Linked DNA regions of Nothobranchius furzeri. The protein of the gene in region 1 purifies or fractionates together with the protein of each later gene. This does not show direct contact. Links are inferred from orthologs where the notes say so. Each region holds a gene or a part of one and is shown in the gene's direction. Other genes may lie near its edges.

Evidence for each region.
Region 2: the proteins of derl2 (region 1) and os9 purify together in Homo sapiens (affinity purification with western blotting; 3 studies listed by BioGRID, with this or other methods). This does not show direct contact. The link is inferred for Nothobranchius furzeri from reciprocal best matches to the Homo sapiens genes DERL2 and OS9.
Region 3: the proteins of derl2 (region 1) and selenos purify together in Homo sapiens (affinity purification with western blotting; 3 studies listed by BioGRID and IntAct, with this or other methods). This does not show direct contact. The link is inferred for Nothobranchius furzeri from reciprocal best matches to the Homo sapiens genes DERL2 and SELENOS.
Region 4: the proteins of derl2 (region 1) and faf2 purify together in Homo sapiens (affinity purification with mass spectrometry; 5 studies listed by BioGRID and IntAct, counting the BioPlex papers as one, with this or other methods). This does not show direct contact. The link is inferred for Nothobranchius furzeri from reciprocal best matches to the Homo sapiens genes DERL2 and FAF2.
Region 5: the proteins of derl2 (region 1) and amfra purify together in Homo sapiens (affinity purification with western blotting; 4 studies listed by BioGRID and IntAct, with this or other methods). This does not show direct contact. The link is inferred for Nothobranchius furzeri from reciprocal best matches to the Homo sapiens genes DERL2 and AMFR.

What each region holds. Positions count from the first base shown.
Region 1 is NC_091746.1:70,401,921-70,406,173, reverse strand, and holds the start of derl2 (derlin-2), read left to right. Parts: upstream 1-1,450; 5' UTR 1,451-1,505; coding exon 1,506-1,640; intron 1,641-4,253.
Region 2 is NC_091743.1:48,732,058-48,736,347, forward strand, and holds the start of os9 (protein OS-9), read left to right. Parts: upstream 1-1,477; 5' UTR 1,478-1,528; coding exon 1,529-1,681; intron 1,682-2,018; coding exon 2,019-2,201; intron 2,202-2,667; coding exon 2,668-2,731; intron 2,732-3,528; coding exon 3,529-3,605; intron 3,606-4,290. UniProt on the Homo sapiens protein: Lectin component of the HRD1 complex, which functions in endoplasmic reticulum (ER) quality control and ER-associated degradation (ERAD).
Region 3 is NC_091749.1:6,254,021-6,257,975, forward strand, and holds the start of selenos (selenoprotein S), read left to right. Parts: upstream 1-1,151; 5' UTR 1,152-1,448; coding exon 1,449-1,524; intron 1,525-3,955. UniProt on the Homo sapiens protein: Involved in the degradation process of misfolded endoplasmic reticulum (ER) luminal proteins. Participates in the transfer of misfolded proteins from the ER to the cytosol, where they are destroyed by the proteasome in a ubiquitin-dependent manner.
Region 4 is NC_091742.1:44,986,931-44,990,051, reverse strand, and holds the end of faf2 (FAS-associated factor 2), read left to right. Parts: intron 1-171; coding exon 172-263; intron 264-1,437; coding exon 1,438-1,615; intron 1,616-1,705; coding exon 1,706-1,877; intron 1,878-1,959; coding exon 1,960-2,103; intron 2,104-2,209; coding exon 2,210-2,392; 3' UTR 2,393-2,614; downstream 2,615-3,121. UniProt on the Homo sapiens protein: Plays an important role in endoplasmic reticulum-associated degradation (ERAD) that mediates ubiquitin-dependent degradation of misfolded endoplasmic reticulum proteins.
Region 5 is NC_091749.1:54,415,030-54,418,544, forward strand, and holds part of amfra (E3 ubiquitin-protein ligase AMFR), read left to right. Parts: intron 1-1,137; coding exon 1,138-1,270; intron 1,271-1,585; coding exon 1,586-1,719; intron 1,720-1,821; coding exon 1,822-1,932; intron 1,933-2,020; coding exon 2,021-2,217; intron 2,218-2,289; coding exon 2,290-2,393; intron 2,394-3,515. UniProt on the Homo sapiens protein: E3 ubiquitin-protein ligase that mediates the polyubiquitination of lysine and cysteine residues on target proteins, such as CD3D, CYP3A4, CFTR, INSIG1, SOAT2/ACAT2 and APOB for proteasomal degradation.

The sequences.
Region 1 (4,253 bases):
TTTAAAAGCCTTCTCTTTGAATAACAAAAGTAACTTCCAGCTCAGCCAGCAGCGTCCCCAGCACCACGATGACAAGAAGCTAGCTTATTTCTCCGCCACAAACGCGCTTCGGCTCTCTACTGCCCCCCGGCGGCCTGGAGGAGCGCGGAGGTACAGTGGGGTAGGGGGGACACAGATGGGGATGGCCTCTCCTACAGCAAGCTCGTTGCTAGTAAACATTATAATAAGTGAGACCAGGTTGACAGGTCAGCTGTAAGCGCCTCGTGATTTTTATCTTGAGAGGCGCTATAGAAATGAAATTTTCTTCTTCTTCTTCTAATCAAATATCTCTTTAAGCGCTTTTTGAGCAGGGAAGGAGCCAAAATATTTTTTGGAGGGGGGGCACAAGGGGTACAAACAATGAACCATGTTCGTTTAATCTATTATTCATTTGATCGTTTATTATTCAACCATAGTAAATCATTGCTGTGTTGTGAGGTGAAACAGCACGATTGCAGAGGAAAAACTTGGAAAATTGGTTAAATTCACTGTTTTCCTGCTTGGAGGCATAACCACGGAGACCAAATATCTGACATAACAAAATCTCGTTGGCTCGCTCTGTGTGTGTGTGTTTGTGTGTGTGTGTGTGTGCGTGTGTGTGTGTGTGTGTGGTTGTATGTGTTAGTGTTAGCACTGTGGCTGTAGCCACCGTGAGGGTTGGCAGCCCAGATGACGAAATTAAGGTGTGGATAACAATCTCTGAATAGGGAGCCTAAGCCACGCCCATCTACTTCCGCACCACGGGTCCACAGAAAAACGAAAAATGAACACAAGTTAACGGGGATAAAAACTTTTTTTTTTTTCCAATTCCGCTTGTTTTGTGCAATGGATTTCACATGATGTCCGTGAAATCTAAAGACATTTTGATACCAAGAACTTGCTTATTTCCGAACAGGGAGAATTGTTATTTTAGATTTTGTGTGAAAACAAGTCCAGGACTACAAATGTGCTTCATAAAAATGACATCATCAAACCAGACACGGAGAAAAACAGAGGGAAAATGGCTGTAAGTTCAACGTACTTATCCTTCTTTCAGGAGGAAAAAAAACCCACAGTAAATCTGGTCATGTGGTGAGTAGCAGCTATGCTAGGGGAGAGGAGCTTATGTGGTGACATTACATATGCGACGTGCTGATTTCTGTTTTGTAGTCATGCTAATTACGAACTTTTACAAGCTGATTAATCTCAAAGTACGTGACCGGCGTGGTCGAAGCACCCACCATTAGTTTTCATTTAAATAGAAGTACAACATATGTGAGATCCAGGGTCAAAGGCAATGAGAATTAGAAAATAGCTCTTTTAGCTCAGGGGTCCCATGAGCCGACCGGAAGGGGAGGAGACTTAAGGCTCCCTGTGTGAAAGCCTCTCAGAGGTGGACGTGGTTCGTTTCGGGGGTATCTCCAGATTGATGTAAGAGGTGATGGATTTTCCAACGCTCCTGAACGCCTCTCTAGTCGCTCTGGGGAATGACGTGTCAGAAAGACCCGGAAGTTGTCATTCTGTCCAAAATGGCTTACCAGACTTTACAGCAGCAATATTTACAGATTCCTCCTGTTACCAGAGCTTACACGACGGCCTGCGTCCTCACCACCGCGGCAGTGGTAAGACCAACCCAACCGAACCTCTCCTTCTTCTCGCTCTCGCGGAAGCTCAGTTCTGTCCTACGAACAGAACCTCCGGCTGCGGTTCTGGAGGAGATTCGTGCCTGAAACTGATGGATCGAGAAGTCCGTTGCTTTCTAGAGCAAACGGAACCGATTTCAGCTCAGAACCGGGACCGAACACAAAGAGCTTTTCATCTGGTTCCTCTGGTTCTGATTCTGGGTCGTGCAGCTGCGGGTAGAATCTACCGGTTCGTTACGTCACAGACTCCTCTGAACACCTGGACTTCAGGCACCAGATCCAACCTGAACCGGAGCAGCCTGAGATGATCTGCTGGTGTTCAGGTTCTGGTTCCGAGGACCGGTACCAAATTTGCTCAAAGAAAGCAACAGTAATGATTTTTTTCTGATAGACGTTTAAATTCTTAGTTTAAAAGTGATGTTAATGATGGTGCGTTCAGGGACCTATAATAACAGGTTAAAGCGAGCATGTCTGGTTCTGGTCACTAACCGCTGCACCTGTAAAGGACAGCTGTATAAAACCCTGATTCATCTCACTATTGTTCACTTTTAGAGAAATAAAACCTTTTGAGTTTTGAAAACTTCTGAAGTTTCCGTCCATCCATCAGATCTTTACCTGTGGAGTCTCAAAATCAGGCCATTTTGTGACGTTCCTGTGTGAATGGATGAATGATTCACTGTAAGGTAAAGAGCTTTGGGAGTCCTCTGACTCAGAAAGGTGTTCAAGTGCAGATTGTTTATTAAGCAGCCGCTAACTAGTGGCCAATGTCACCCAGACAACCCCTCTTCTCCGTTGCTGCTGCTGAGTGGAGGTCTTACTCGTACAACACTGGAGTCCCAAAGTGTTTGATAGAGCCTGAAACTGAAACAGGTTTCAGCTGCAGGACATTTCTGAAACAAGGAAGTGAAAATAAGGTTTTAGTTCTTAAGGTTAGAAGCTAGAATTTAGTGCATCAGTCATTCATCCATTCACACGTTCACCCACTTGTGGTGATGAGCCACAGCTGCTCTGGGGCACACTGACAGAAGGTAGGCTGCCGTACACAGTCCCTCCAACCACCATCGTAAGGAGGATGAAGTTTCCATCCCAAGGACACAACTGACATGACTAGAAGCCTGGATTTGAACCTGTAACCCTCCGATTACAGAGCAGACTCCTAACCCCTGAGCCACCGTCGCCCTGAAACCTGAACTCCTCCAGATCTTCTTTCATCATAACAATTGGACCAAAACCCAGAACCAGACAAGACCTGAATCCCTCCTGTCAGGTACAGAGTGCAGTCAGTGTGGTCTGGCCCCGCCCCCTCAACATGAATGAAAATTCACAATTTTAACACCTTTTAATTTCTCGTTATGGCAGTAGCTTAGACATTACGGCAGTAGCTTAGACGTTACGGCAGTAGCTTAGACGTTACGCCAGTAGCTTAGACGTTACGGCAGTAGCTTAGACGTTACGGCTAGGGCTGCAACAACGAATCGATAAATTCGATGAAAATCGATTACTAAAAGCGTTGGCAACGAATTGCGTCATCGATTCGTTGTGTCGCACAACTCTTCCAAAAGCGCCCCCCCTTCCCGCCCGCCGTTGCGCACAGACCAAAGCAAGTCAGATCAGCGCGAGGGAGAGCCGCAGATCAGCGCGAGAGAGAGCCTGCAGACTTGCGCTGCTGCGAACCGGTTCCGCATTGTTGCGCAGCGATCCAGGCAGCTGCTTCCAGCGCACGGTCCATTCTCAAAGTGGCGCAACCAAAAAACTATAATTAGCACACGATCGTTCTTGTCTGCACATGTTCTCTATTTTCTGTCTTATTTGTGCCTGAAGCGCGCTACTGCGGAGCTCATCACCTGTGCTGTGGTGATGTCACCTCACGCAGCATCGAAAACGCGCTCTGCGCTTTGCGGTCAGGAGATCTCTTTGATCTGCTCAAAAGTAACTGATGAGGTGAAAAGGTAAGAATCCAGGCAACAGTTTTTCTGGAGAATTATGAGGAGATGCAGGAAGATGAGAGACAGACAGGACAGGAAAATAGTTAAATAAAAACAAGAAAACAAAGTAAAATGTAGGTAGATTTATCTCCACTACACGTTTTTACCAGTAAAAAACAATAAGTTATACACATGTCATATTTATACATCTGATACAATTCAGATCACCTTCAAAACTCAGTCACACACCCAGGGCCGTTTCAAGACATTTTGGGGGCCAAGGCAAAATGCCCCCCCCCCTCCATAACTGGGCTCCCCAGAAGCCTCTGTGTAATCCATACCCTCTCCAGGAGTGTTAGTAAAATCCCCTCAGACATTACTGACATGTTCTAATATTATCAGATGAAAAACTAAATTATCAGACATGCTGTCTCATCTGCTTCTTTTCTAAACTTGCAAAAAGTAACAAAACCATTTGAAAGCCACTATTTGTGGATTCTCTGAAAGTTTCCATGGAGTGTGTGACAACTTATTTTATCATTGATCCTATCGTCTAATCTCACAGCTGAAACAAGCATCCTTAATAATCTGTGCACAGGAAGCTTACCGATGCTGTAGTAAAACACAAGGTAGTTTCTTATTAATAAAACCTTGTTGCAGCACTAAA
Region 2 (4,290 bases), on another chromosome or scaffold:
AATAATTTCCCATATCAGTGAACCACATCAGCAAAATGATGCTTGTCTGTCTGTCTCAGAGAACATGCTTTAGGACTTTTAATTCATTCATTTCTCAGTCCATCCAAATCAAAACCACACAAACAGTTTTCAATCTGCAGCATGTTGTTTCTCACTGTCCCACCCCTCCTCTTACATCCACGAGCGACCATTTATATTGAGTAGCCTAATAATAAAAGATGGTCTTCTTCTCAAACCGAATCCAAACCGGACGGGAGAAACTGTCATGTCGCTGTTTTTAAATCCAAGGGAGAAACGAGCCTAGCCTGCCAGGTCCTTTCTCGGTTCCTCCCTTCCTCCCAACGAGCGCGTACCTGAATAGCTGTATCGCTTGAGTCCATTCAAATACCGGGCCACTGCCCCAGACGTCCTCCGCACTGCACAGCACCCTTGGTTAAACGAGGATTTCCTAATCTTCTGTTCAGCAAATAGAGAGCTGAAACCCCAGAATCGACACGGGCCCACTAGCCTACCTTTAAACACGCCGCATCCATAAAAACGTGACTATTATTAACCGAACGCACCTATGCATCCAGATAAACGCGCATCTCCTGGTTTTGACATTTTCATCGAGAATTCCTGCTGTAATAAAGACCAAAGCATTTTTTTTCTTATGTGAAGATGAGCAAATAGGCTACTCAATGTTCACACAGAGCAGGAAATCCCAAGTAAAAGACGGACAGGCCCTTTTTCCCAATCTGAAGCTTATTAAAATAGAAAAATCCCAGGAATATGCAGCTCACCCCAGTGAAGATGTGTCACCTCCCTCCTTCACCAAGCGCTCCCTTTTTAATGAATGCGTTCCCCAAGAGTCTTGCAAATGGAATTAGATGAAGAAGAAAAAAAGCGGAGCAGAGGCAAATAAAAACGCGGCCGCACATCGCAACACATCGCGCTGTGGAAGAGACTCCCCCTGCAGCAACAGCGGCTGCACAGCAACCGGGGATCCAGAATGAAGTCTGCACCCCACAAAATGTGATTTGTGCTTAAAGATACAAAAGTAACAACAATTGAGTTATTTCTTAAAAACATCAACGTCTTTTAAAAATAAAATTTAAAGTAAGATATGTTGTGTGAGTGGGCGTCTATGCTAATTCATTTTGTGTGTGCTTCTTCCAGGAAATAAGACTCAGTTTATACTGTAATAATAATTAATTTTTAAACTATAGACAAAATAAACGCCTCATTCATTAGACCAATGATGCAGATCTAAATCAGTATGCGTGTGCGTTTATTTTATGTATAGTAAAGTAAAGCGTCAGCAGACAGTTCGGGTGTTGTTCGTTAGTTAGCGGTGCCTGTGTCGCCCGTTTAAATCGTCCCTGTAACAAGAAACTAGTACACACTGGAAGTAAAAAAACTGGTGACTGACATTAAATTCAACCAATCGTAGAGCAACAACTTTGACACTAACCAATCAACGTCTACCATGTCAGGCGTTCTGTGTTTTGATGCTTGTACAGCGCTTGGTGTACGAAGAGTGTTAACGATGGCTGCCTCCTTATTATTGCGGTGGCTGAAGAGACTGTTCCTTTTTGTGTTGATATGCCCCCTCTGTGTTCCAGCCTTCTTGAATTTGGAAGAGTTAAACGAAATGAAATACGGGATTCAAATTCTGTCTGACCCCGTGATATTAGGGCAGGTGAGTGGGGGCTATAGATGCTAACGTGTAGCTTGTTAGCTATAATGTAGGCTACAGCTTGCTAGCGATAAATATATTAATTCCTTTAGGTTATTTAATTACAAATACAAATAACATGTTTGTTTAAGCTCAGCAAGAAACGTTAAGATATTTTGCCAATTCGTGCGAAGACAGAAATTGTTAATTTATGAGCGACAACTGTGACAGCTGTCTTGACAACATGTACACACACACACACACACACACACAAAACACCTGACCAATTAACTACTGCCAATATACTGTGTAGCTTCCCTTTAATTATTACTGGGGTTTCATCACAGTGTTTATTTTTCAGACCAAGACAGAGGAAGTAATGATGGTGTCTAATAAATACAAGCAGCTCTATGAATGTCGACTACCAGCCCAGGCTGTCCGCTTTCACCAGGACCCAGCCTCCGAGCCTGACTCTCAGGCCTACACCGGCCCAGACATCCCAGACCTGCTCAAGCCTATGCACAAATCTCCATGTTTACTAAAGGTATTCTCTCACTTTTCAGGTGTCAATCAATGCTTATTTATGTAATTCGCTTATTAAATACGTATGTAATTAAGTGATTAAGAGCTCTGTACAGACCTCATCACACATACTGTCACCAATTAACAATTGTTTCTTTTCAAATTACATAGTTATAACATTGTGCAGGTGTAATCAAAAAAACGTCAAATACTTTCTGGATTATGATCCCTCAAGCTGCTTTTAAACATTTTTTTAAAGACGTGTGTACTTTTTATTAGTTTACATTCATGTGAGATTACATAATTCACTATGTGGACCAAGATTCAGATCAGAAGTGGCATGAGCTAGATCGACCAACTATCAGTACCAGTCAAATGTTTGAGAGAGACACCTGTCACACACCTGTTTAATATGCAGGTGTTGCCAAACTGTTGACTGCACTATGCAAATGACCTCATTTGAAATTTGCTGTCATTATTTCCTGCAGACAAAAGACTGGTGGACATATGAGTTTTGCCATAGTAAACATATCCAACAGTACCACCTTGAAGGTAAAAATATTCTGATTAAGCATTCTTAATTGACTTATTTTTCTAATGACAAATTGTGGGCAAATTATAAATACAAAGGGCAGTTTGCCTGCTGTAAACTTACATATTTATCAGACCTTTTTGAGTGTTGTGTTTTTATCCAGGTCTTCTAATGGATGGATGGATGTGCATGTAACTAAGAAACAAGAGAATTGCTTTCATATAACCATGTTGTTTTCAGTAATGCTGCAATTTAGCCAATACTTTTACTAACTTCATTGTGTTTTATTAAAAGACAAAAATATCTGGGAACTCATCTGGATTCACATCATTAGGATATGAACTGCAGTCAACCTGACCTGTAGATTATACGCTACTGTCTATTTAAAAAATCTGTGTCTTAAGTAAAATGTTTTTTACACTTTCTCTGATGTTATTTTTAAACATCTTACAGACAGCTAACTGTGAATCCTCCTCTCTCAGTAAAAATATCCTGCTAGTTTGTGTTTGTGCTTGTCTTTAGTGTGATCACTGAGACAGGATTGTGCCTGGTATATCAGTCAAGCCACTAAAAGCTGATTCTGTTTACCGTTCATCTGTGCATTTCTAGAAAAAAAAAACAAGTTAAACTTGTGTTCTTACACTTATAGTAGCTGTGCACCTTCTGACAGTTAAAGATTCAAAAGTCTTTAACACACGGAGAAATGTTGACATAACATTTTTGCAAACTTGTATAAGTCTAAAAATACATTTTCCAGGTCTGATTATCGTCTGCATGTTTTTAAGACATGTTTGTGACTGATGTTCTTTTTTTTTAGACACAGAAATCAATGGGGGTGTTCTTTATCTGGGATTTTATGAGTCTGAATTTGACTGGAACAATGAAACGGCAAAGGTAAAGTTGTCTTTATTAACTACAAAAACTAAGAAATAAAACAACTAACTACAGACCCAGGGATATTAGGCAACTTTTTCATATTTTTACATCATTTTCTATATGTGCTAAAATGACCCTTTACAGGGTTAATGAAATTTCACTCAGACCCCCATCACACTCTGTGGCCAGAATACCGCATTTTTAACATTAGAGTGTCGGTCCAGTTTGTTGGACTTTAAAAAAAAAACACTGGAGCTGACCAACCTGGGGTTGCAGTCTGCTTTCAGCATGTTTCCTGCATGTTTTAGATCACGAACACAGCTGATTTGTTTAATTTAGTGCTGGATCACTCCTGTAGACATTAATGAAGGCTGGGGAGACATTTCATCTGTTTGATTAAGGTGTTAAAAAGAGGAATGCACATTAAGTAGATGTCTTTTGTTTTTGGTTCTTCTAAACAGACACTACAGGTGCTAAAAGCAAGCCAAAACACCCAATCTCCCTTTAAATGTAGGCCTCTTCAAACACTGTTGACAGAAAATGCTCAGAAATATCTGTATGTGCTCTTAAAGTTGCCTCTTTATGAGATAAATGACTGTAGGATATGCATTCAGTTTTCCTTCTTTTTTTTTTTTTTTACTTAGCTTCTGTGTGTTTTGTGACATTAAAACCAAATAGCAGTTTTACAATTGCTAAAGACGAT
Region 3 (3,955 bases), on another chromosome or scaffold:
AAAATGAATGGAGGAGAGGCGATGTCGCCTCCCGTGTGTCGAGCCCATAAGAGGAGAGGCGAACCGCGAAGTCCAGGAAGGTATGGTTCTTTCCAGGTGAGTAATCCAGTAAGGTTCTGCTTCTTGGATAGAGGATAATATCCAACAAACCCAGAGCGTCAGGGAAGATTGTCCAGTAATCCTGGAGAGAGGATACAAAACTTGAGTCCAAAAATCCAACACAAGAGTCCAAGAATAATCCAAGAAATTCTCCAAGCCAATTATCTACTTAAAAACCAAGCAACCTAGAACGAGTGGCCAAAATACTACCATGAGTAGTTAATCATCCAGCACTGTGTAGTGGTTCCCTCTCCTCTTAAATAGAGCTCTGCTGCGGATGACCTGAGAAGCTGCAGCTGCCACTGATTGCTAATACCCTGCAGCTGGTGAGCTCCCTCTCCTGAAATGAAGAGCTCAAAGATGTTATAGAGATGAGGAGTACTCACCCCACCACACAACAGTAATACCACATATAGGAGTAGTAGTTAGGGAAAGAACTCCAGATCATTTATCTGTGTACACAGTGGAGATGATAGCTATCTTATTTAGTCTTCAATGGATGGAACAAAATAGAATTAAAAAAGGAATTATATGTACTGATTTGTTATCTGTATTAGTGTCAGTTAAATGTATGTCTACCAAGAGTCGAATAGCTTTATTATATGAGATTATGAGACCATATTTAGATTAAGGAAATTGGGTGCGGAAGTTAAATTTTTATGGGTACCAGCACATAAAGGAGTAGAAGGAAATGCATATAGTGCCGCTGAAATTAAATCTATCATTAAAGCACATATAATGGACGAGTGGCAAAGAATGTGGGAAAGGCGACAGAAAGGAAGACATTTGTTTCAGATACAAGGGAAAGTAGGAAAATGGAAAAATATAAGAATGAATAGTAGAGATGAAAGAATAATATCAAGATTAAGAATGGGACATACTGGGCTTAATAATACGATGCATCTGATAAGGGAAACATCCCACAGGTTTGTGTGGATGTGGGGTGGGGGGAGAAACAGTGGAACATGTTTTAAGTGACTGCATAAAATATGAGGAAAGTAGAGGACAACTCAGGGAGAAACTAAAAAACATAGGAGGTGGAGTGATAAATGTAAAAAATTTGTTAAATGGTGAAGGAAGGAAATATAAGTTGGTTATTGAGTTTCTAAAACACAGTGGTCTGTTGAATAGAATTATTTTTTTTATTTTTATTTTTACGTTCTTACTCCGACTCACACTCCAGCACAGTAGGTGGCGGAAATGCACCTAGCAGTCAGATGCCACCCGCCAGAAAACACGAAGAAGAAGAAGATCTCGCGATAAGTGTGCAGAAGCGGCTGTGACAGAGGAAGCTTCCAGAAGTCCGTAGCTTCCTAAGTTTTGGTCCGCTCGTCGTGCTGGGCTCAGCGATGGACAGTGTGCGTGACTCATCTGGTCAAAACCGTCCCCCGGAGAACCAGGACCTGCCTTTTCTGAGCATCTTAGGTAGGTGACGTGTCGGAACCAGTCTGTCGCGAGAACGGGCGTCGCAGAAAATGGCTAGAAGCTACTTTAAGTCATACTCGCACTATTAACTCGGGTTTCTTCCGCGTGATTCATGAAAACGAGTTGTTGTTGGAGATGAATTAAAGAATTTAGGTTTGTCACTTTATGTTCGGATGTGTTTGTTACGAATGAAGAAGGCGTGTCTTGATTTTTTCTTCCTCCTAGTTTCTAAGCACGGCTCACATTCCTGCTTCAACCAACATCCCAACAGTTTTTTTATTATGAAATTATGACAATACAGCGTAAACAAACCTTTAGTAATAAAATTTATGTATAAAGGATAAGAACTTATCAGTCATCAAATAGAGAAAAAGTACAAAGTGTATCAGACCATGTCAATGAACAGAAGGAAAAGGGAAGGAGAAATTGATAACAAGAACACATTTAAGTATTGTTACGTATTTGTAAACTTTAACATTATTCATAAAGCAGTTTCAAAAGGTCAAATAGGATATGTGTTTTGTCTAATTTGCAATGTTTTAATGATTCTTTCAAAAGAAGTACTTCGTTTTTTAAAGCAGCGAGAGGTTTTCAAGTAACGGCACTTATGGATAAACTATTTAGCCAATATAATCAAATTGTTAATCCCAAATTGTAAAGTTTTATTAACTGTTTGTAAACCAAATCAAATAGTTTAAAATGTTAACAGGGGGAAGTGTATATATATATATTTGCATTATCCAGTGCTGAAAAGCTAACAAAAACATTAGTATTATCCATCACACCAATGGAAAAGGTGCTCTGCTGTTTCAACATCATTAGTGCAGAAAGACGCATGCATTTATGTCGATGTTGAACTTCTTGTGTAAACAATCATTTGATGGATAAATGGCATGCAAAATTTAGGAGTGGTTTTCTTTTGCTTTAGGTGGAATTGGGAAGGAAATGTATTGAATCAAAAAGCTGGAATTAGAGCCTCTAAGTAGGTGTTTTCGTTTGAGTTGTGATGGAAAATATTGTTTGGTGAGAGTCGTTCTTAAAAATATGTTGTTACATGCCTTTCCCTTAAAAGGACATCCTTCAGTTATTAAAGATGGCTCTCTAAGGATACAATTGGAATAAGCTAGGCTGGCTTTAGCCATCTGAATCACTGGTGGGGGAATGGCTTTCATAAGCTTGGCGAGTTTTTGTCTAGAACAAATAATGTCATATCTTTCAGTGAAATCATTGTATGATGAAGGATTCCCATCACCATCTAATAGATAGTAAACTGTCCAAACTCCACGATCCATCCAATCCTGATAGAAAACAGATTTTCTATGAATTAAGATGCTCCTATTATTCCAGATTGATGTTGTGTGAGGGGAACAATTGTGCTGATATATCAGCTTCCAGTACTGAAGGGCCTGTTCATGAAAATTTGATAGATTGACTGGTAATTTTGATATTTCAAAGTCACACTTAAGGAGAAATTCAACACCTCCAATGTTTGCAAATATCACTTTGGGGAGAAAAAAACCAAATTAGGGTTGTCACGGTATGAAAATTTAACCTCACGGTTATTGTGACCAAAATTATCACGGTTTTCGGTATTATCGCAGTATTTTTTAAACGGTGTTGCATATGTTCAGAAAGCATTGATAGTCCTGTTCTACACAAACTGAAATAGTTCTGAAAAGGTTTAACAGTGTTTATTAAACCTAAAATAACACAAAGCCTTAGCAAAAGTGCAACTTTTCACAAGTAAAGGAACAAATAGCTTCTTTTTCTGGAACATGTTACAGTAGTCAGTGCAGGTTTAAATTATACAAATCCAAACATTCAAAACATAAACAATATGTAAACAAATCAAAGAAACACCACTTGTTTTCTCATATACTTGTTTTCTTCATTATCAAAATGAAAATCTAAAACTCCAGTCCACACTTGACTTGAGCACTGTACAAGTCAACCTTAAAAAATATGTATTTAAAATAAATAGCCACTTTAAACAAATTACTAAAATAACTACTACACTATGTAATCAAATCCAAATGTTCAAGTATAAATGGCATTGAATAAGTAAACAAATCAATGACAAGGAACTAATTGTATATTTCTCTTCATCATCAACAAATGAGATGCTTCATCCAGCAACAGGGTGTCCGTGACACGGTTTAAATGCTGGCAGAGGGCGCTGCGGCTGCAGTATATGGTGACTCGTTGCATTCTCCCTCAGCCAAAAGTCCTCACATCATGCATTTAAGCTAAAATGCTAATGTTAACTTACCTTGCACTGGCTGTAGAGACGTGGGCGATGGTCACGCAGATGTGCCATTAGATTCGAAGTGTTGCTGCCTTTTGCAGACACCTGCTTCTGCACGTTCCGCAAACGGGATAGCCGTCTTCTATTAACTGTCCCTCAGCATTTTTCAGAAATCCAAAATATGCC
Region 4 (3,121 bases), on another chromosome or scaffold:
CTGAAGTTCTCTGATCTGGTCATTCTCTAGATTCTGAAACAGAGTGTGACGTACGAGGCCTTCATTCCTGCTAGAGACCTCTGCAGATGCACTGATTAATGAGTGAACCACACCTTAACTGTTAGATGAGGTGAACATATTCATCCTTTCCTCTGATCTGTGGCTCCTCAGCTCCACGTTATGTACAGAAGAGGTCATAACCTTCCTCAACACACGGATGCTCTTCTGGGCATGTTCCACCAGCAAGCCCGAGGGCTACCGAGGTGTGTATGCCCGTTCATTCGTTCATCTGTTATCAGTGTGACCCCGGCTTTCCACAGCAGCCGTCAGCAGCACGTTACTGCAGCAGCACGTCATAGCTGCTGATAGGAACGGCTGTGGTCAACAGAACCTTTTCCACAGGAGCCGTCAGCAGCTGTCAGCAGCACGAGTCGGCCGCGTCTCAGGAGCAGCATGTCGCGGCCTTTACGCGCCGGTTCTATTTCCTACGCGCGACGCCTCTGAAACGGGTCAAGTTCGACATTTTTGGGGAAGGAAAGACAGGAAATCGGACGCGGAAATGGAGAGAAGCTCCCGAAATTTTCAGAATAAAGAACGTACTGCCTTCCGGTCGCTTTACTTTAAAAAAGGTTACTAACTGTGCGGCCCCGTGAGAAGTTATCACCTAGCTAGCGGTCTCCTTTGTTTTTCAGGTCCGTATCGGCGATTATAAAACGGACAGAATATAAAAACACAAACATTTTGGAGCCATGTTGTAGTTTTCTCCTGCTTGTTGTTGTGTTTACTGACGAAGTCACTCGTGTGACTTCGTGCCCTGTCGGTGACAGCTGCTCCTCTGCTGCGTCGCGTCTCGTGGGAAGGGCCAAGCAGCAGCTAGACGTGCTGCTGCAGTAACGTGCTGCTGACGGCTCCCGTGGAAACCTGGGGTAAGTCTGGCTGCTCTGAAAACAACAAACACTCTGATATCACTGGTAAACAACATGTTGAGACCAGGGCTGGGCAATAAATCCACTCTTACCGAGATAATTGTTCCCGTCTCAGGAATGAGATGAGAACATGAAATATGTGTGTGAGCTGGCAACATTCATGTCCTGTAAGAAGCTGCACCACCTTCAGTGGCATACCAGTGTGACTCAACCTGGAACACGTGACATCTAGTGGACAACTGTTGTTCCTGCACACACCTGTAGTTCTAGTCTGTTCATCGCTAGCGAGGTGAAATCCTCTATATGTCGTGATATTAGTTGTAGGCCATGCCGCCCAGCCCTAGTTCAGACCCATGTGGAGTCCCCAAAGCTAGAAGCTAGTGCTGCTTTTCTGTCCTACAGGGACTCTTCTGTTAGCTTGAGTGGCTACAAAAACATTAAGATCCGTGCAGAAGCGTGGTAATAATGGTAGTCCACTGGGCTTTTGTGTAACAATGGTTTCTATACCAAGTGTCCCAAGCGTTGCGGGAGAACACCTACCCATTCCTGGCCATGATCATGCTAAAGGACCGGAAGATGACCGTGGTGGGTCGGCTCGAGGGTCTGATTCAGCCTGAGGAGCTCATCAATCAGGTCACCTTCATCATGGATGCCAACCAGACATACCTGATGTCAGAGCGCCTTGAGCGGTACGTCAGACCAGCTGGAGTTAGTGAGACCGTCGTCACATTCTCTACAGCTGAAGTAGCAGCGAGTGAAGACTGAAGTGTTGTTTCCAGAGAGGAGAGGAACCAGACCCAGGTGCTGAGGCAGCAGCAGGATGAGGCCTACCTGGCCTCCTTACGCGCCGACCAGGAGAAGGAGAGGAAGAAAAGGGAGGAGCTGGAGCAGAAGAAGCAAGAGGAGGAAAAGGTCCGACAGAGTGCTCTTGCAGAGGAGAGGAGACGAAGAGTGAGTCTGGTCGTCTTCGTTTGTACATGGATACGTTGGTCTTCCCCTACATGTCTGATTCCTGTTGTTGTTTTCACTCCAGACACTAGAAGAGGAGAAGGAGAGGAAGTCGGAGTGCCTTCCTCCAGAACCATCTGCTGATGATCCAGAAAGTGTTAAAATAGTGTTCAAGTTGCCCAACGACACACGAGTAGAGAGGCGGTTCCTGTTCGCTCAGTCTCTGACGGTGAGCGCTGGTGTCTTTGGTCTCCTTCACACGCCTCTGGTCAATGTTTGGTTATTAGACGCTGACATGTGATGAAACATCTACATGTTTCTTCTTCCTTCCACAGGTAATCTACGACTTCCTTTTCTCTTTGAAGGAAACTCCAGAGAAGTTTCAGATCGTGACAAACTTCCCTCGCCGAGTCTTGCCCTGCCTTCCGACTGCAGAGCAGCCCAACCCCCCCACGCTGAAGGAGGCAGGACTCAGTCGCTCCGAGGTCGTTTTTGTTCAGGACCTCACGGACGACTAATAGATGACTTACCTCGTCTACATGGAGACACGTTTATCTCTGACCCACCCATGTTGTTTGGTTTGTTTTGGTAAATGGCCGTTTTACAGAAGGGATGGTTGCTATAGAAACTAACCTGGATCACTAAACCACCCTGCATCCAGTGCTCCTTCACTTGTGTTGACAGGGTTCCCATTAGCCTGCAGTCTTGAATTTTATCAAATAAATATTTCTTGAAGTGGTTCCTTGTGTGGAGAAACTGTTGTTGGTGTTAGCTAACAGTTATCCTCCTCCCAGCAGTGAGACTAAAGCTGCAGCACAACCTCCTCGTCCCACACAAGCTGTCACAACCGAGGAAGACTGGTTGTTAGTTACTCGAGGGGAGTTCCCTGCTGTTTCTCTTGGTTCATGCTTTAGCCCACAACCCCTACAGCGATTATCAAGCACAACTAGCACGGTCCAAGTCTGAAGCAGCTGTGATCGAGAGTTGAAAGGATGGGAACCCTGTTTAAATGAGCCATCACTTGTACATAAGTTAAATATTTAAATGCCCACTATTGTTTTTATTTGACTCGTCATGAAACGACCAAATGCAGGTTTGTTACTATGTAAAGCAGACTGCCTCCAGCTCATGAAGTTAAAACGTACAATATTTAACGAAGGCCACAGCTTTTACATGTGGCTCTATGTAGTTTAGTCTGCCCATAGTGTGCCTGTGGTTACTCATAGATGCCTGTTTTGCCTGTAATA
Region 5 (3,515 bases), on another chromosome or scaffold:
ATTGAAACTTCCGTTGTTTTATTTGGCTGTGTCAGGTTGGAGGGAATTAAGGTTATTTAAGCGGTTCAGAGTTAATAAAGTGGTAGATATGATGTTTCACAAGGTGCTGCTAGAGTTATGTGAAATCTTACTGCTGATTTTACTATATAAAACATAATAATAATCAACTTCTCCGTCATGTTTGCTCGGAGATGTACGGAGCATCCTGTCCGCTCATTGGTCAGTGAATGAAACCTCCGTTGATTGGTCCTCGTCCGAGCGACAGCAATGAAAAGTTGAAAATGTTTCAACTTTCTGGGATTGCGTCGCTGGGTCGCCTGTGCACGACACGTGCACGAGCGCAAAATTTCACTTGCACGTCTTTCGCGTTTCGCTGAGTAGGAGGGAGACCCGCGATTATCGCTTAGTCGCGCATGTCTCACTGAAAATGAATGGAGGAGAGGCGATGCCGCCTCCCGTGTGTCGAGCCCTTAAGGTGTATAGACAGAGACCCTAAGCTACATTCTGTGACCTAAAATGCTTCGTCCAAGTTAAACAGCTTAAGGGCAATTCTCATCTGTCTTATTTGATCTCATCTGTAGACATTTATTATAATTGGGGATGTCAAATGACTAATTTTTAAATGTAATTAAACATAGGCTGTGAATTCATCAAAATTAATCACTATTTCCAAAAATGACTAAAAAATACCAAATAAAACAAAAAAAATTGAAGACTTGGAAGAGTTGTCCGACACAACGAATCGATGACGCAATTCGTTGCCAACACTTTTAATAATCGATTTTTATCGATTCGTTGTTGCAGCCCTAATCACAGTACATGATAAGATGATCACTTTTACGGAGTTCTGAAAAAGCATACATGATTTCTGAAAGGGTAAAACTCCGGAAAGATACTTTAAGGGGATCAATTTGGAGGTTAAACCACAAAATATTTCTGAGCACGGCCATGCCTGCAGCTCACGACTCCCCCAAGGGATAGGTCCAATGCGGAAAACAAATTTTGCCGGTGTGTGATGACTAATGGGACTTCAATCTTTAAATGCCAGCATCCTCACACACCAAACTGTGTATCACTTGTATTCACAAGATAAAGGTGCTTGCATGCATGCTTCTTTGTATGTGTGTTACTCCTCAGGTACTCCATCCATCTGTGGGATCTGAACCATCCAGGAACTTGGGAAAGCAAAGGCACATATGTGTATTACACAGACTTCATCATGGAGCTGTCTATGCTGTTTCTGGATCTTATGCACCACATCCACATGCTTGTAAGATCTAAAGCTGTTTCCTTATTCTGGGACATCTTTTTACATTCATGTTTTTTTTAAAGCGTTTTGTTATAGAACTCAGATTATCTGTATACACACACACACACACACATAGAATTATTAGAAAAAAAATTGAATGGTTTACATGTGCACTTGTCAGTGTTTTGATCAAATGTGAAGGATTATTTGAAGAGGCATTTGGGAGTAGAAGAGAGGAGACTCGGCTCAGTGAGCTTAGCCAGAGTATCTGAGATCTACGTCTTTATTTAGAATATTTACACAGTTTATTTTCCTCTCCAAATATGTTACTTTCAGCTTTTTGGAAACATCTGGCTTTCCATGGCGAGCTTGGTCATCTTTATGCAGCTGCGCTACCTATTCTATGAGGTCCAGCGCCGCATCCGCAGACACAAGAACTACCTACGAGTCATTAACAACATGGAGGCCAGGTAATAATACATACGTGTACAAAAATGTAGTAATACCATTGTTATTATGTGTGCTTTTGAGTCCTTGTGGGTGCCATTGATTCTTGTTCTAAATGTGTGCAGGTTTGCTGCTGCTACTCCAGACGAGCTGGCAGCCAATAACGATGACTGCGCCATCTGCTGGGACGCCATGCTTACGGCACGAAAACTTCCATGCGGTCATCTCTTTCACAAGTAAACAAGCGCTTCCTTTTTGGTAGCTTCTGTAAAACAAAGTAAAAGCTGCCTATTAGAAACGGTATGCATCCATGTGATTTTGTAGCTCTTGCTTGCGCTCCTGGCTTGAGCAAGATACGTCGTGTCCCACATGTCGAACTTCGCTAAACATCAATGGGGACGGGGTTCAGGTGAGAGGTCAGCCGCAGGGTGGTGCTATGGAGGATAACGTCGGTCCTGCTGGTGCTGCTCTGGAGGGGAGACCACACATCAACCATCACAATCACTTCTTCCACTTCGATGGTAAGTCACCCAAACCCCTAACCGCGACCCGACACGTCTCTGATGGGTTGTGATGTTTATTTATTCTTACAGGATCCCGTATTGCCAGCTGGCTGCCCAGTTTTTCAGTGGAAGTGATGCACACCACTAATATTTTGGGCATCACGCAGGCCAACAACTCTCAGCTCACAGCTATGGTAGGACCACGTTTACTCCCTCTGTGGTTTCATGTGAGATCACACAGAGATCCTGACTGAAGTTGTGTTCTTTTCTTAGTCCTTTTTTAGTTAATAAGTCATTTGTTTTTTAGAATATTTTTACAATAAATGGATTGTATTTTTGTAATAAAAGAAGTGTCAGCATCAAAGCCTCCATCAAATACACCTGATGAAGTTCATTAAACCCCACGTTAGACACTTTCAAGTTAGGAATCTGCTGTAATCTGGGATTGAATAAAACCCACAAGTATTTATTTAATCATTAGGGATGTTCCGATCACGCTGTTTTGGTCCCGACCTGAGTCCGAGTCATTTAATTTTGAGTGTCTGCCGATACCGAGTCCTGATCCGATACTTCTCAGGAAAGCATTAAAATAAGAAGAAATAAAGAAAACATCTGAGTTTTCCTTTAACTTTCACTTTTTTAAGAAGTGCATTGATTAAAAAGCGAGTTTATATTATGAATATATTTAAAAGTGGCAGCGTTGCTCATATTTCAAGTTGTTTACTCCCTCAATATGCAGCTGTGTTGAGAGATGTTTGTTCCCGTGATGGGGCAGGCATGCGGTGCCTTGGCCGTCTGGCTAACTTTTCCTGCACAACACCTGTAGCTACCGAGCAGCTTGGTCCTGCAGGAGACTTAGAAACCCCAACATTCAGCAGCCTGTTTATTTCCCTGTGGGCTGGCTCTGTGCTGTCTGAGTTTGTTGTGAACTGGGAAGGAAACAGGTCGCTTTGTTGACGCCTGAAGGGAAACCCAAATGCAAAAGTAAAGGTTTGAAGGCTGTGAATGCCCAGTATGCAGACATTACAAGTGGCTGTTACACTGCCTTCACTGTTTGGATTAAAATACCACCATATTACGGACAATAAGCAGTAGCCTGCTTGCTAACAGCTGCACCTCGGTGTCTGAATCCCTGCCTGCCGTAAAATCTTGTGACTTTATGGTGTTGTTTTCATACAAGAAACAAATAATGTTGATACAGATGAACTTGTTGAAATTAAAACCAAGTCATTGTTATTCCAATAGAAAATCTCTATTTTGAGATGAATTTAAAATATCATAATTGTTGTTTAAAATCTTTTCCTCCCAATTCCGAT